Linked DNA regions of Pelodiscus sinensis. The protein of the gene in region 2 interacts with the protein of the main gene of each other region in a pairwise test. Links are inferred from orthologs where the notes say so. Each region holds a gene or a part of one and is shown on either strand. Other genes may lie near its edges.

Region 1 (8,642 bases), on a different chromosome or scaffold from region 2:
CTTTTTTGCGGAAAAGACTACTGTGCTGCCTACACTGGCCCTTTTCCGGAACAGTTTTTCCGGAAAAGGACTTTTGCCCAAACAGGAGCAGCATAGTTTTTCCGGAAAAACAATGACGATTTTACATTAGATCATCATTGCTTTTCCGGAAAAGCAAGCGGCCAGTGTAGACAGCTCGCAGCTTATTCCGGAAAAACGGCTGCTATTCCAGAATAAGTGGCCCAGTGTAGACACAGCCTAAGGGTTTTACTGTCATCAACACACAAAACCACAATGCAGTGTCAAGAGATTCAGTTCCATGTGGCTCTGCTTACACATATATAGCTTTAGATTGGCTTTCCAAAAAGTGAGTATTTTAGCATTTAATACCCCAACACATCATATTTTGATCCTGAGGTACCTCACATTTCACATACTGATTAGGGACGTGAATGACTATCTGATAAGCAAATGCTTATCGGATAGTCGACAGGCTAGCCAACTAGTCACTCTCCCCTCTCCTTGCTGCCTATCAGAAAGAGGTGGGAGGGTGGAGGGAGAGAAAGGGGTACTTCAAAGCAGCACCACCACGTGGAGCCTGGGACCACACCCTGGGCTCTACAAGGTGCTGCCACTTTGAAATGCCGCATGCAGCCCCCAGGGTCACCGGGAGGAGTCCCCAGGCTCCACAGGGCGCTGCCACTTTGAAACGTCATGAGGAGCCTGACACCGGGCTCCCTGCAATGCTTCAAAGCTGCAGTTCTGCATGGAGCCCAGGATCAACGGGGGAGTCAACAGCTGACCTTGGGCTCCATGCAGTGCCTCCACCTTTGAAGTGTAGGGCTTTTGCTACAATTCAAAGGTGGAAGGCGCCCTATCGACTAATCAAATAGTCATTGCAAAATGCATCGACTATTTGATTAGTCAATTACTTGATATTTAACAACCCTATTACTGATATGGAACAGATTACAATTTCAATTGTAAACCTAGAGTAATTCTGCTTATTTGCATGGCATTATTTGTCCTTGTTCAGTGGTGACTGATTCACTTCACCAATAACTGAAATGCAGCTACCTCCAGAACTTAATGCTACAGCATCTTATTCAAGTGCTAAAGTAAAACTGCACCATATCAGTGTTATTAAGGTCATTAACAACTTATTCAGGACAAGACACACAAAAATCCAGATCTAAATGACTCTGCAACAAGAATTGAGTGCAACTAGAAAGTAAACATCCAACTGAAGTTTGTCTAACACAGTAAGTGGACTATCTAATTATCTTTCAAATCCCACCATACAATTTTCCATTACTGCAAGTCATAAAAAACATTGTTTTAGATCTCAGAAATAATTTTTTTAAAGTTATGATGTGCTGAATTTTTGGTATGGAACCATTCAGGAATAGAGTTTTCAATATTAGAAATACTTGTTACTGTTTCACTATCTGATACATGCACAGGCGCGCGCGCACACACACACACACACAATCCAGTTTATATTACAAAAAGTTGTGACTTTTTGTAGCAATTCATAAAGCTATGCAACAAAGCCAAATATTACTTGGAATGAGATCAGGGCCAAAGCCCATAATTTATAGCTTTCTGTGAATTAAAACTTTTTTTTGTAAGATTCATTGTCAAGTAGTTTCCCTATTCCTGACTCTGTCCTTTTCTTTTTGACAAGACTATTTTCTCCCACCTTCATTTTTCATGGATATGAAATAAGATTATTATAAATACCTTTCCTGTGGTCACTCTAAACCCTGTCATAATACATTTTGATGATGCAAGGTGAATCAACGTCAGCATAATTCTAAAGAGAACAAAGTATTGTATTTCTGTAGGTTCTACCCAAAACATGGCTTAATAAAATCTGAAAATAAAGTTTTTTAAAAGCATATTTTTACTCAAAATAGGATTATATGTAAAGGCAGGTCAAATGCTGATGCCTCAAAATCTGGATAGCGTCCCTTTAAATACCTATGTATAGTTCTGAATACCATTACTCTTCACTTAACTCTAAAAACAGCTAGGGACTAAGTCATCTGAGATTCACCAAACCATTTACCCCAAGACCTGCTTTTCACTGAACTAGAAAGCTTATAGTGGAAAAACAAAAAGGCCCTATTCTCTGCAATGTAACTGAAAGGATCTTTATATTTCAGATGGGAGTTACTTATATGTATGTCTGATGTGAATATAAAATTGAAGTGGAGCTCTTAGATTATCCAGTCTATTGGGAAAGATAATTTTAACAAAACATTGTTCAACTTCATCTTGAGAAAAGGGGAAATACATTTGAATATAGCAAACAGGCACATTTCTTGACTCAAAAATCAGTCAAAGGAGAAATAAGACAAGGAGTAAGTATATTTTATTTGCTCTCTGTCAGGACCCAATTCCTTCTCTTTAATCCCTACTAGTCTTTTCCAGGAAAAACTTGAGGTATTGCCATTTCTTAACCCCATTCTACTAAATCAAGTACTCAAATATCAATCCCGGACCATTCATATATTTTCTATTTTATGATTAAATGAGGTCTTATACTTGTTCCCCAAAATCAGAGCTCAACTGAATCCTATTTTCCTAAACTCTATTAGGCCCCATGATGAGTGATATCAAAAGAGCAAGGAACCAACTTGATAGGCACAGCAATATGGAACATCGTAGTTTGATTGCAGATTTTTCCACCCCTTACCCTGGGTACACTCATCAGGCTTAAGGGCTCTTTGCTACTACACAAAAGGCTCACGTTCACTTTTCATGTCTGTTTTCACCATCACCTTCAACAGGGGCTAGGAATACTGCAGAAATAGGCACTGTTATTTAACAACCATTTTTCTGGCCACGTTAATAGCCATGACATTCAGAAAAAGGGTCAGGACCAGTCCCCTCCACAAACTCCGTGTGCTGTCCCTGGCAAGCAGAGTCCTAAAGCAAGGCCAGCAGCTTGAGGAAGAGGGATCCTTACGGCTCAAAGTGTGACCAGTGCGGAAGAAGGAGAAGCGAAGTCAAAGGCCATGAACTCGAACCCAGTGACAGGGAAGGGGGGGGGGGGTATCCTGCCGGCCAGAGGGGAAACGGCCCCGTCCCTCTCGCGCCAGACACCGCAAGAGCAGGAACAAAGGTGCGCGGGGGCGATTCCTCCCGAGCCGGGCGGCGACCTAGGGCCCCTCACTCTCCAATCCGAAGAGCCCCCCCGCGGCCTCCCCTCGGGTCACCCGCCAGCGGCTCCTCACAGACCCGGAACCGCCTCGCCTTGGATCCAGCCGAGTCCAAGACCTTCCCAGTCCACGGCCCGAGGAGGTGACCCCCGCGGCCCAGCCCCGGGGCGTTGCCTGGCTACTTCCCCGCCGCCCCTCCCCCACACCGCGCTCCCCCCACCCCCCCGCTCTTACCCGCCGCGGTCGCGGTCCCGGCCCCGGTCTCCGAAGCCCCGCATCTTCCCGTGGGGCTGGGCGGGGGGCACAGAGGGGCGCGAGCTGGGGGTGGCGCGGAAGGGGTGGGGGGGCTCGGCCGGCGGCGGCTGTTGTGTCCCGGCGGAGTCGCCTTTGGCCGCCTCACTTCCCGAGGGAGGGGGCGGGGAGGCGAGAGACTCGGTCGGGCTCGGTTCGCGGGGCCGAGAGCGGCTCGGTTCGCCTGAGGGCCCGTCGGGCGCGGAGACAGAACAGCGTCCTCCTCCTCTGGGCTCCCGGCACAAAATGGCTGCCGCCGCCCCAGCCCGCTCCACTTACGTTAAGGGCGGCTTGAACTTTGCGCAAGCTCCGTCCCTGAATAGCCGGCGTGGGGGAGGGGTGATACGAACGTCGCTACGCCTATTCTCGAAGTCTGAGTACGTATGAGGCCGGAAAGCCGAACCTAACCACGACAATGCGCAAATTGCGTAGTACCCACGATCTGATTTGGCTTCTTGCGTTTGGAGACAACGCTGTTCCTTATTCCCGAAATTCGATTGCGCAAAATGCCACTCAAGTAACCCATTTAACGAACGGGGAGGCAAACCCTGACCAAGCGGCATATTACGTACATTATTCTACACAAGTTTCGTAGCAGTGGCTGGTTCTGAGCTGGGTTTAGCGTAGGGGAAGGAAGAGCCTTCCATTTTGCGTAAAATTCTTCAGTTGCTTCTGCTCAGCTGGCCGGCGGAGGGGGGGGGTGCAGAATTGCATGGTTCGCGTAGCGTATTGTGCTTGGAGAATAAGGTCTTTTTGCCTTTGCAGCAACTGCATGAGTGGGAGGTGGCAGCAAGCTGGAGAGACAATAATTCTGTGTGGCAAGCTGCAGAGTTGAAAAGGCCTTGGTGCAATTTAGCTCTGCTGCCTAAGAAATCCCCCCCACCCTCACCCCCAGGCTGCGTCTTGTTCAGGAAACTCACCAGGCTGACACAACATTTAAGCTCAGTGTCTGCTGGGGCAGAGAAGGGGTTGTCGTGTAAAGTGCATGTTTGTTTGCCTACACATGTCATAAAAGCGATCTTGCCGCAGTGCACAGACAGGACGAGGCCAGTAGCAGCCGCCATGATATTTACTCTCTCCTTGTTTCCAGTAAAGCAAAAAGAAAGGGGAAGGAAATTTAGCTAAATTAATGTAATTATTTACGTGAAATAATTACAGCCCCTTCAATAGGAAGGAGATTCCTTGCGATCTGGTCAAAAAACAAAAGTACAGAAGCATTGACAAGCACTATTCCACTGCCTAGAAGGTGAAGCTTGAAAGTTTCTCTTTTACTCACAGAAGCTGGTTCGATAAAAAGTATTACCTCACCCTGTCTCTCTCCGGACCAACACAGCTACAAAAACAGGGCAAACAATGCTATTTTGTGTGGTGATATATTGCGTGTTTTGAAGTATTGTTACAACTTAAAAGTTTACATGTTTTAGTGTTAATAAGGACAATATTTTAAATCCTTTCATAATCTTGTAATAATAATTGGCAAAATACTTCCTTCTCTTACATTTGTGTAACTCCACTGGAATCAATAGGCATTCATAGATTTGTAAATGAGAAATGAATTTGACTATGTATATTGTATTCCTCTGGTCCTTTTTATTCTGAAGGATACCAAAGTATTTTTATGGCCCTATTATTTTCCATGCTTCCACAAGTGGAAAGCATAAAACTCCACTGACCTGAATGCTGGGGAGCTCTGCAATGTCATTCCAATGCTATGGAAACACTGTCTGAGGGCAGGGTGCGGAGCTGCCAGGTATTTGCTTTGCAGGAGCATCACCCCCACAATATCTCAAGTGTTAGCAGCAAAAAAGAAGCCCTAAAGGGAAACCTTTGCATAATTGTTGTGCCTTACACAAGCTTTTTTGCCTCTCAAAGAAAAGGATCTGATCCATATAAATGATATCCAGGCATCACAATTCATACACCTCAAATTAGTCACCTCTGGTGAAGAAGCTACACATTCTTTAACTGCATAAATACACAGATGGGAGGTAGATAAAAATATGTCCACTTGAAACAACAGGGGAACTTCAACTATCTACTTAATTTAAATTAGAATATGGCCAGAACACTGGGATTACTACCATTACATTTTTTAAAATGGACAACAGATGCAAGCATTTTCAGTGAAGCTGTCAAATGATTAAAAAAATTGATTGTGATTAATCATGTGATTAGAAATGAATCACAATTAATCATGTGGCTAACCATGCTCTTAAACAATAATAGAATACTATATTTTTGAATATTTTGGATGTTTCCATCTTTTCAATATTTTATGTCAATTACAACACAGAATATGTAGTGTACAGTGCTCACTTTATTTTTTGTACAAATATTTACACTGTAAAAAAATAGTATTTTTCAGTTCCCCATTATAAGTACTATAATGCAATCTCTTTATCCTGAAAGTTGAAATTAAAAAAGTAGACATATACAAAAAATAACTGCATTTAAAAATAAAACAATGTGAAACTTTAGAGCCTACAAGTCCACTGAATCCTACTTCTTGTCCACTCAAACAAATGTGTTTACATTTGCAAGGGATAATGCTGCCTGCTCCATGTTTAAAATGTCACCTGAAAGGAAAAACAGTTGTTTGCATGACATGGTTGTAGCCAGCATCACAAAATATTTACATGCCTGATGTGCTAAAGATTCGTCCCTTCACACTTCAGCTCCCATTCTGAAAGCATGTTCCACACCTTCTCCCTCAGATTTTGGAAGGTACTTCTGATTCTTAAACCTTGGGTCAAGTGCTGTAGTTAGCTTTAGAACTTCTTTGTGTTTTGTCAAAATTGCAGTGAAAGTGTTCTTAAAATGAACAACATTTGCTGGGTCATCTTCCTAGACTGCTACAACATTAAATATATGGCAGAATGCAGGTACTACACAGCATGAGACATACAATTCTCCCCTAAGGAGTTCAGTCACAAATGTAATTAACATTATTTTTTAATGTGCATCATCAGCCTGGAGGCATGTTCTCTGGCATGATGGCCAAAGTATAAAGAGGTACTATTTTTTCATCATTTTACAGTTCAAATATTTGTAATTTTAAAAAAAGTAAGCACTGTACATTTTGTATTGTAATTGAAAATATAGAAAAATGTCCACAATATTTAATACATTTCAATTGGTATTCTCTTGTTTATCAATGCGATTAACTCAGAGAACTGATGGGTAGGATTCCCTGGAATACTTACATGAAGGGGAAAGGAGTCCAGGAGAGCTGGCAGTATTTTAAAGAAGCCTTATTAAAGGCACAGGAAGAAACCATCCTGATGCACAGCAAGAGAAGCAAATATGGTAGGCAACCAGATGACTAGAAAGGAGTATAAATATATTGCTCAAGAATGCAGGGGAGTTATCGGGAAGGTGAAAGTGCAACTGGAATTAGCAAGGGACGTGAAGGAAAAAAAGAAAGGTTTCTACAGGCATGTTAGCAATAAGAGGGTGATCAGAGAAGGTGTGGGGCCCTTGCTGGATGAGGGAGGTAACCTAGTGACAGATGATGTGGGAAAAGCTGAAGTACTCAATGCTTTCTTTGCCTCTGTCTTCACGGACAAGGTCAGCTCCCAGACAAATGCACTAGGCAATGCAGTATGGGAAGGAGGTGGACAGCCCTTGGTGGGGAAAGAAAAAGTTAGGAACTATTTAGAAAAGCTAAATATACACAAATCCATGGGCCCGGATTTAATGAAACCGAAGGTACTGAGGGAATTGGCAAATGTCATCGCGGAGCCTTTGGCCATTATCTTTGAAAACTCGTGGAGATCGGGAGAGATCCTGGATGATTTGAAAAAGGCAAATGTAGTGCCCATCTTTAAAAAAGGGAAGAAGGACAATCGAGGAAACTACAGACCCGTCAGGCTTACCTCAGTCCCTGGAAAAATCATGGAGGGGATCCTCAAGGAATCCATTTTGAAGCACTTGGAAGAGGGGAAAGTGATCAGGAATAGTCAACATGGATTCACAAAGGGCAAGTCGTGCCTGACCAATCTGATTAGCTTCTATGATGAGATAACTGGCTCTGTGGATATGGGAAAGTCAATGGATGTGATATACCTTGACTTTAGCAAAGCTTTTGATAAGGTCTCCCACAATATTCTTGCCAGCAAGTTAAGGGAGTATGGATTCAATACATGTACTGTAAGATGGATAGAAAGCTGGCTAGACTGTCGAGCCCAACAGGTAGTGATCAATGGCTCAATGTCAGGTTGGCGGTCGGTTTCTAGCGGAGTGCCCCGAGGATCTGTTCTAGGACCGATTTTGTTCAACATCTTTATTAATGACCTGGATGAGGGGATGGATTGCACCCTCAGCAAGTTCGCAGATGACACTAAGCTAGGGGGAGAGGTAGATACACTGGAGGACAGGGATAGAGTCCAGAGTGACCTGGACAGATTAGAGGATTGGGCCAAAAGAAATCTGATGTGGTTCAACAACGACAAGTGTAGAGTCCTGCACTTGGGACGGAAGAATCCCAAGCATTGTTACAGGCTGGGGACCGAATAGCTAAGTAGCAGTTCTGCAGAAAAGGACCTGGGGATTACAGTGGATGAGAAGCTGGATATGAGTCAACAGTGTGCCCTTGTAGCCAAGAAGGCTAATGGCATATTAGGGCGCATTAGGAGGAGCATTGCCAGCAGATTCAGAGGAGTGATTATTCCCCTTTATTCGGCTCTGGTGAGGCCACAACTGGAGTACTGTGTCCAGTTCTGGGGCGCCCACTATAGAAAGGATGTGGATGCATTGGAGAGGGTCCAGCAAAGGGCGATCAAAATGATTAGGGGGCTGGAGCACATGACCTTCGAGGAGAGACTGAGGGATTTGGGTTTGTTTAATCTGCAGAAGAGAAGAGTGAGGGGGGATTTGATAGTAGCCTTCAACCTCCTGAAGGGAGGTTCCAAAGAGGATGGAGAGAGGCTGTTCTCAGTAGTGACAGATGGCAGAACAAGGAGCAATGGTCTCAAGTTACAGTGGGGGAGGTCTAGGTTGGATATTAGGAAAAAAGTATTTCACTAGGAGGGTGGTGAAGCACTGGAATGGGTTACCTAGGGAGGTGGTGAAATCCCCATCTCTAGAGATTTTTAAATCTCGGCTTGACAAAGCCTTGGCTAGGTTGATTTAGTTGAGATTGGTCCTGCCTTGGGCAGGGGGCTGAACTTGATGACATCCTGAGGTCTCTTCCAGCTCTGTGATTCT
Region 2 (8,539 bases):
TAATTAAAACATTCTTATTCCCATACTGGTATGGTGTAGTCCCAAAGACCAATCTTAACCTTTGAAATTCCCCATTTTCACAACTAATATTTCAAATCCCTTCATACCCACATAACTAAGCCATATCCCTTGCTCAGCAGTTTGTGTGCATGTGAATACAGAGTTCATTAAGCAGAGCTCTAACTAGAAGAGATGCTGAAAGTTTAGATTTCTTGCCACACAGAAAAAAAGTTTCTTAATTTCCCTGACAGCAAAACCAATGTGATCAATACCACCTTGAATGCAAAACTGAACTTCTAGGAAGGTTATTTTTTTAAATTAAGCACCCTAAAAGTAAGTCAGAGACTAGGTTGGGGTGGGGACATTTCTGGTGTACAGCTGTGCTGTGAAAGGAGGCACCTGCTTCCCACATACTACAGTGTGAAGAGGGACTTGGAGGCAATGTTCTCCACTGGAGAGGTAATTCTAGAGGCTCCCACCAACTGTAATGAGATTATTAAGTACACCTCCAGAATAAGGGCCAATATATCTAGAGAAAGGACTATCACACCTACAAAAACTATTCTAGCCATTCCATTTTCACCATGCCTGTGGAGAACATTACTCCTGTCACAAGCAGGAGAGGGGAGCTGCAACAGTGCATGACTGAGCAAATGTGTGAGAATTATTGATTTGAAGTTATGTAATAAGGCCATAATAACCTGAAGTCTAGAAAAAAAAGGTTAACTTTCAAATCACTCAGAATCCAGAAATAGGATCACCACTGACAGCAGATCAGATGGGAAAAGGGGAGAACGTGTATTTACCTATATAAGCTCTCTCTTGCTCACGAGTGAGTCCAGGAGGGATAACAGTGGGCATTCCTGGGATGACAGTCTTCTGCTCCATGGTGTCTTGGTTCCATCTGCTTCTCTTCCGCTTCTTATTAGGGAAATCTAAAGGCAAGCATCCTTTTTTAGACAAACTTTGTATGTTTGAAGGTGTTTCTACAACATAACATAACATAACACAAAAGTTATTAACAGCAACACTGAGCACACAGAATTCCCTTAAATAAAAAATACTGACAAGGCAACCTACACTCCTTCCAATACCAAATCTCTTATAGGGATGAGAAAAGTTGCACACAGTTTTAGTGGATATAATTTCAGTTCAATCACTGACCTGCCAATTGACTTTGGACAAATAACTTTACCTCTGTGCTATGCCGGTTTCCACTCTACTCCCTGTCTATTCAGCCTTTATGTTTTTACTGTCACCGTGTTTGCACAGCACCTAGTACTGTGTGAATGCTATCTATGTTCAGGCCATTGGGTGCTACCACAATACGTAGACAAAAACAAGCAAAAGCAGCCATGTTGCCATGTTAAAAGATGTATTTATTGTCAGCAAATAAGCAAGGGACAAACTCAGTAGACTTGAGTTCAACAGAACAGTGATATCAACTACAAAATTATGCTCCTCAATCAAGCTAGTCAAACCAACTGAAAACAGGAAGGCTCTCTAAAGAAAAAACATTACTCTAGAATCCAACACTATTTTTCTAATAATTTCTGCCACCATTTTTAAAGGGAATGTTACAGTTCTGATTTCCATCAGTAAAGCAACATGGCTGCCTCACAGCACCATTTCACATTCAGCCTCTTTGTACACATTACAAGACCTGGGATATTTACATTGGATGATGTGATGGGAAACTATCTATACCCACAGCAGTTTTCCTTTAACAGTGTGTAGGAAATTGTTACTGCTCCTTTTTTATGCTGAGCTTTCACGTGCCTTCACACAGAAAAGCATTCTGTTATGATTTAAATACAGATTTCCAAAATGAGCTCTTATTGTAAAGATTAGAAGATTAACAGGATTAGCTATCTCTAATCATTTTGCTAAAAAGAGAGACCAGCAAAAACAGAAAGTGAAAGAAGAGACCATGGTAGCTTTTACCCTCATTTCTTCCCAATACTACACAGACCTCCATTTTGGTTGCATGAGTATCTGCTAATGCCTATAAACACCACCAGGCCTCCTTTCTTCCAAGAATACCAATCTCAGGCTGTTCAGTGTTTTGGGACTTCAGTTTTGTGCCCAAAGCTTCCACTGAACAGCACATGCCCACATGTTTAGAACCCCCGTTTTAAGATATCAACACTCAGATCTTTTTTTTCCTCTTGGTACCCACAACCAAGTCTTTCCATCCATCTTCCTAGCCACAAACCCACTCTCCAATTAAGAATGTTCCCTTGCTCAATTCTCTTTCTTCAAAGAAAACAGCCAACACCTCAACCCATCCTGTTCCCCTTCATTTCCCCATATTTGGCTGGTTCATCTTCCACCTAGACTCATTCTCCATTTATCAATCTAGTCTCATCCTACTCCTATTTATCCCCATCTCATTCAACCTTTTATTAGTCACAACCCTTTTCCTCTTTCCCAGTACTCAACACCATCACTTCCTTCCATTCTCAAATATACCTCTTTCCCTGCAATACCCCTACAAAGTGTCAAGAGACGTCTCATCCCATGAACCCTTAAACACCATTTTACCCATTCCACTTCTACCCCATCCCACAATTGCCAAAACTATAACTCTCTCTCCGTTTCAGCCCCTTTAACTCCCCATGGCCATCTCAAAAGCCCCAATGCCTTCACTTTTTCACTGTAACGTCCCCCAAAATTGCCTACCCAGCCTAGACTCGCAACTAGCTTCAAAAGGTGCCGAGCCAGTTCCCTCACCGAACACTGCCACATTTACACATAACACCCACCGCTCCAGCTTCCCAACGTCCATCGCTCCCTCGCAGTGCTTGCCTCTTACTTCTATAGACCCTCATACCGCCCGACGGTTCATCTGCAGCCCCACACCCAACCTACAATTCTTCCTAGCCCCACTCTTATGACCCTCCCTCTCCGACCCCCTTTCGTCCTGCTCCTCACCGTGGTTACTGCCCCCTCCCGGGCCGCTCTCATCCTGCTGCGGTTGTTGCTGCGGCGGCGGCTGCTGCTGCTGTTGCTCATGGCCCTGCGGGGGCGGCGGCGGGGACGGGTAGCGGTACTGCCCGTACTGAGGGGGAGCCTGAGGCCCCCCAGCCTGGGGCGGCTGCTGCTGTTGTTGTGGAGGAGGCGGCGGCGGTGGGGGCGGCGGGGGCTGCGGTTGCTGCGGCGGGGGCTGAGGCTGGGGCGGCGGGGGAGGTGGGGGTGGAGGAGGGGGCGGCGGCGGCAGCGCGGCGAAGGGGTAGGCAGCAGCCGCCATAGGCCCCAGCAAGGCGGCTTGGGCCTGGCCCGGGCCTGGCGGCGGTGGAGGAGGAGGACCCGGGAGGACCAGCCCAGGTGGACCCGGCGGAGGCATCGGGTAACCTGGCTTCCCCGGTGGTGGGGGTGGATGGAGCTTCCCTAGCGGCGTGGCGTTGGCTCCAGTCGCCGCCATTAGAGTCTCCTCAGCGCGGCGTTCGCGTTTCGCGAACCTTCCAGCCTATGCGCCTCACAAAGCTACTCGAAAATCATTGGCCGCCGAGATGTCAGTCGTACGCGCACGTCCTTCTATTGGCAGCGCCATGCGTCCGTTAGCCAACCGCGCTGATACATTGGCCGAGCCGCTCCAGTGAAAGAAAGTCATTGGAGGAGAGGAGACAAGTGCTGAAGGCAACACCCATAGGTCAGATGAGATGTCACTCTCTAGCGAACAGTGATGGGAATGGTTGAGCGGCAGTATGCGTGAGAAGGAGGGATGAAAGACAAGTTATGATTGGTTGACTGGGCATTTAAGGCGCGGTACTTGCAGTGTGGCACGGTGGGCGGGAACACAGTTAGGTTTCCGTGTTAGGACTGGTTGAAGAGACGGAGGGCGGGCTCTCGGGATATCGAGCTGCGTCTGGATTGGGGGAGGGGGCGGTCTTGCGACACTCGCGGCGCGCCTTAGAGGTTTTGCAAAGGTCGTTGGAAGACCCCGTACAGTGCGGGGTCGGTTGGTCGTGACGTTAATGCGGAGGTTTCCTCTTATTGGGCAGAGCGCAGCGCAGTCGCCCATGATTGGTGAAAGGGTCTTTCAATTAACGGAGCATTCTCTGATTGGTGAGTGATAGGGCGGGAGCGATCCTGGGTGCGAAGCTGTGCCCCAGAGCCCCAGTGAGTGCAGGCACCGCCTCCCCCTGTCAGGGGCTCATGGGAGCCTAGCCTCCTCCTCCTCACCCTGCTGCAGCCCGAGGGGCTCCTGGGAACTAGGCTTGGGGAAGGCGGTGCTAGGCCACATCACCTGCACCGTGGTGCACAGCAAAACTATAGGGGTGAGCCGGGAGATGAAGGCTACGGCTTAAAAGCCAGCTCCCCACAAGCACTGACTGCTGCTGCCTGTAACTGCTAAGAACCCAGCGGTTACATGTTTACACAAATACATGTTTTACATCCCTAGTCTTCAGCCCTTCTCCGAGGCTACATTTCACTTGCAAGGAGAGCGTAGTCCCAGCCCACAAACACACAACTGTGTTCTCCTTACCCCTGCCCAGGTCCCAGTGATAGTGGCTGGGACTATTACCCCATCCCATGATAAACAACAGTTCTCATGGAGGAAGAAGGGGGTTTCAGGCAGGACTGAAAACCAGTCCTTACCAATTAGTGTGACAGCAATAAAAACTAGAAAGGACAGCAGTGGACCTGAATAGGCAAAGAGGCCCCAATGGCTCTCCCCTAGGAATGATTCAGCCAATTAACACCAAGCAAACAAAAGACACATTTAATATCAATATATCTCTTAAATAGCATATTTTTTCAAGTTTTGTTTTTTATCCATAAATTCCAGCTCTCAGTTAAAAAACAGAGAAATTAGCAAAACAGAAAGGGAAGCTTCCACTGCCTGAGTTAGTAGAGCTGTTGGCCCCAAGATTCTGATCTCTGTCACAATGGCATTTAGGATTGGCACAGTTTTCCAAGGCAGCAAAAGAACAAGGCATCCCAACAGCCAGCCAGTTTAACACACTGCCTGGTAGTGAAGCAGTCTGCTTCATTTTAAAACAGTCATCCATCCACCCACCCACCCACCCATCTTTTCATGCTCAGAATGCCAACCATGCATCCAGTCTCTCTGTAGCAGATACTCTCAAACCTCTTTTATACCAATCAGCCACCCCACCCTGCGAAGCAATTGGCTTACTCACTAAACAAGTCCCTCACATTGCCTCATCAGCCAAACCCATATTTCCCCTCATTCACCCAAGTATTGCCCCAGCCACTTCCAAACCAAACCACCACCTCATCCTGCTAATCACCACTCCCTACCAACAAGCACTCAACTCTCTGCCACCAAGCCATCACCCAGCTACTTAAACCAGCCAACCTATGCCCAACCAGCCATCACACTCTTCCCCTCATCAGAACTCATGCAGCCAAGCAACCTGCCCAACCATTACCAAAACAGTCAAATAGGTATCCCAGCCACTGATTCAACAGGTTTGTCCCACCTCAAGCTTTGCTTGTTGCTTACACTTTGAATGAGAAGACACAGAATTGCTTTCCCACTCCTTTTGCTGAAGATGTTTGCCAGATTTCTGGACCTTAAGTGCTACATAGGAAAAAGAATGCACCCACTGGAAAATGGATTGTCTTCATGTTGAAGCTGGAGGAGGACACTTTCACAACATGTCTCTCCAGAAGACCCCTTCTTAGGATTAAGAATGGGGTGGGGAGGAGAGAAGAGGAAGCATTCAGCAGGCACAAGTATCAGTCAAGACAGACTAAGGAGGCTTCTTTGGACTGGCTGGTAGTCAATTATTGCAAACATAAGAGTCTCAGGAGATGCTCACTCTAAAAGGGCAGAAGGAATCTCTCCATACACTTCTGAAAAACAGGAGTATCTCAGGAAGACTTTGGACAACAGAAGAGGTGGACTGTAGAGTTTATAAAATAGAATCCATCTGGCATGGATTCCCACAACACAAGATGGACCTTGCTCATGGGAAGAGTTCCCTAGGCTCCTGCTATCTCAGAAATCAGTAGTTTAAATCATCACAGCAGAATTTCCCCTTGCACTGGGGCTCTGCATCCATCCCCATGGGGATGTTGGAAAGGCAGTTCCACATACTCAATAGCTGCTCTCATGCCCCGTTAGGATGTAGAGGTTGCTGTGAGCTAAAGGATTCTCCGTAGGCGTGCTCTCCAGGATTACATCTCTGGAAAGAAATTTCAGGGAGGTAGCTGTGTTAGTCTGTTTCCGCAAAAACAACTATGGAGCCTTAAAGACTAACAATTCATGGTCAGAATGTTTTTTGAGCAGAACAGGACGACTGTTTTGCTCAAAGGTGACTTGAGAGATGTAGCTAGGAATGCAACTCAGCAAAGCCAGCCCCAGCCATGAATGTATTCCACCACCCAATCTAGACCCCATTCCAGTCCCACAGCCATGAATGCAGTCTACCTATCACACAAAACCAAACCCTCTACGCAACTCCAGCCCTCCCCCCTCAACCCAATCACACAACCTTGGCCACCATGCAAAATCAGCCTCTCCAATCCAACCATGCAAAATCAACTCTTGGTTCAAGTGCTGGGCACATTTATCTGACCTCATCATTTCTCATATAAACATAACAGCATTTCATTATACAGCCAGTCCCCGACTTACAAAAGCATCGACTTATGACCATCCACACTTATGACCAACCTCCCATTAATCCCATTACAGCTGGTCCCCGACTAACGAATGCACCATCCACACTTACGAACAGTGTGGCTGTATGTAAAAGCATGTATTTCCGACTTACGAACAAATGGAGTTACAATCAGGTGTTTGGAACGTAAGTCGGGAACTGGCTGTATAAACCCAAACTAAACTCCCCACACATGCTTCTCCCTTAGCAAGATGACAAAAGAACCACCACTTTATGCTTAATGTGCTCCTGGCACGTGCTCTGATACTGCAATGATAAGCACAGCAGCATAACTTCATCCCAGTTATACAAACCCAGTCCCTAATACAGCACATTCACCATGCAACCTCTGGCTTGCCCAGAATGCAGCCCAAACCCTGACAAGCCTGCAAATCCACCCAGTCATGTAACATCCCACAGGATCAAGGGTACAGGATGCACACACTAGAGTGTGCAAGATGGAGACCAGCTACTAAAGTGATCTGGCCTAGGCAAGAGGAAGGAAAAAAGTTCTCAGCTCCTGGTCTCCCAGATAATTTTCCCACTGTCCCAGCCTTGCAGGCTGGCAACAGGTTCCTACCACAGCCAGACTGGGGGTAGCGAGCTATAGCAGGGCAGCCATACCACTTGATCAGAGGGTGGAGACAGCAGGACAAGAATTGCTTGCTGCCATCTGCCATGACTACATCCTCACTTTGGGGTCTCACCTGTTGGCTCCCAGCACACGGAACATCCTGGATTTATCTGTGATTTCTTGGGTCACCTGTCAAGGAGAAGGTTCAGATCAGCACAGAGTTCTCCCAGCCCAGATCCCTACTGGGTCAATGCATCTCCATCCCCTACCCAACGATGGGGATAGATCCTATATCACAGAGTCTCCCTCAGGAGCAATACTACCTCTGCATACATCATCTCCAAGTTATTCCCCCCTGCAGCGTCTGATCCCCCCTCATCTAGGGAAGATAGGTAGATGCATCCACCCAAGCCCTGACCTGCACTCACCTCATTGCTCTCCAGACTGCGGCCCTGCATGCCATGTTTCCAGAAGGCCAGCACACTGTCTTGAAGGCACACTGTGGTGGGCAGGACAGAAAGACAGGGGTGAGTGGCAGATGTTATGGATGACCACATCTTGGAAAGCTGGCATGTGGAGGACACTTATCAGGGCAGGTAGGAGAGTACAGGAGGAAGAGAAGGTTGGACAACCCCTGAGATCACCAGGCCAAGCTGGAATGCGGGAGATAAGCAGGCCAGTGGAAGCTCTATCCCCAAGAGACCTTCCCCCACTCACCAATTGTCTCAATGGGGAAGTTGAAAGTGAGCTCTGAGGCCAGGGCTCTCTTGGGGGCCCCACACAAGTTCACTGTCCTTACATAGCCTGTGGGAAGAAAGAGAGGCTGTCAGCATCGACAGTGGCCAGGCCTGAGCCAATGGGGGTGGGACTGGCGGGGGCATGCTGGGGGTGGGACTTACGCTCAAAGCAAACGAGGACTGTGTCTCTGTCCATCTGAGTCACATGGCTGGCCACACTGGAGGTCCCATCTGCAATGGAGACACAGGGAATCTCAAGGGGAGCTGAGCCTTCTAGTAGGGAAAGGTTTTGTACCCCATTCCTTCCCCTCTGAGCCCATCAATTCCTCCAGAGGGGAAAGACCCTGAGTTCCAGTCCCCTGCCACCCTGGGGCCCATGTGTGTTAGTTTCCCCTAAAGGGGAAAGACTCCATGTCCAGTTTCCCACTGAGGTGTCGCTTACCTGCAGGGCTGTCAATGTTGAGGCTGGAGTTGGTGCTGAGTGAAATGACGTTAAACTCCAGCTCCTGGCCCGGCTGGTCTCGGTCCACAACACACACACACACCTGGGGGTACTCTTCCGTCTCCACCACCAGCAGTTCAAACAGGCTCAG

What was found.
Region 1: the proteins of SF1 (region 2) and DDX17 interact in binary tests that used the Homo sapiens proteins (3 or more experiments, as listed by UniProt). The link is inferred for Pelodiscus sinensis from reciprocal best matches to the Homo sapiens genes SF1 and DDX17.

Annotation. Positions count from the first base shown.
Region 1 is NC_134711.1:91,723,782-91,732,423, reverse strand, and holds the start of DDX17 (putative ATP-dependent RNA helicase DDX17), read right to left. Parts: upstream 3,688-8,642; 5' UTR 3,425-3,687; coding exon 3,381-3,424; intron 3,289-3,380; exon of another isoform or gene 2,959-3,288; intron 1,741-2,958; exon of another isoform or gene 1,723-1,740; intron 1-1,722. UniProt on the Homo sapiens protein: As an RNA helicase, unwinds RNA and alters RNA structures through ATP binding and hydrolysis.
Region 2 is NC_134721.1:35,855,237-35,863,775, forward strand, and holds the start of SF1 (splicing factor 1), read right to left. Parts: upstream 3,509-8,539; 5' UTR 3,425-3,508; coding exon 2,935-3,424; intron 936-2,934; coding exon 807-935; intron 1-806. Other genes in the region: MAP4K2 (mitogen-activated protein kinase kinase kinase kinase 2), read right to left, coding at 6,071-6,158, 7,343-7,398, 7,638-7,708, 7,927-8,013, 8,109-8,177, 8,389-8,539. UniProt on the Homo sapiens protein: Necessary for the ATP-dependent first step of spliceosome assembly. Binds to the intron branch point sequence (BPS) 5'-UACUAAC-3' of the pre-mRNA. May act as transcription repressor.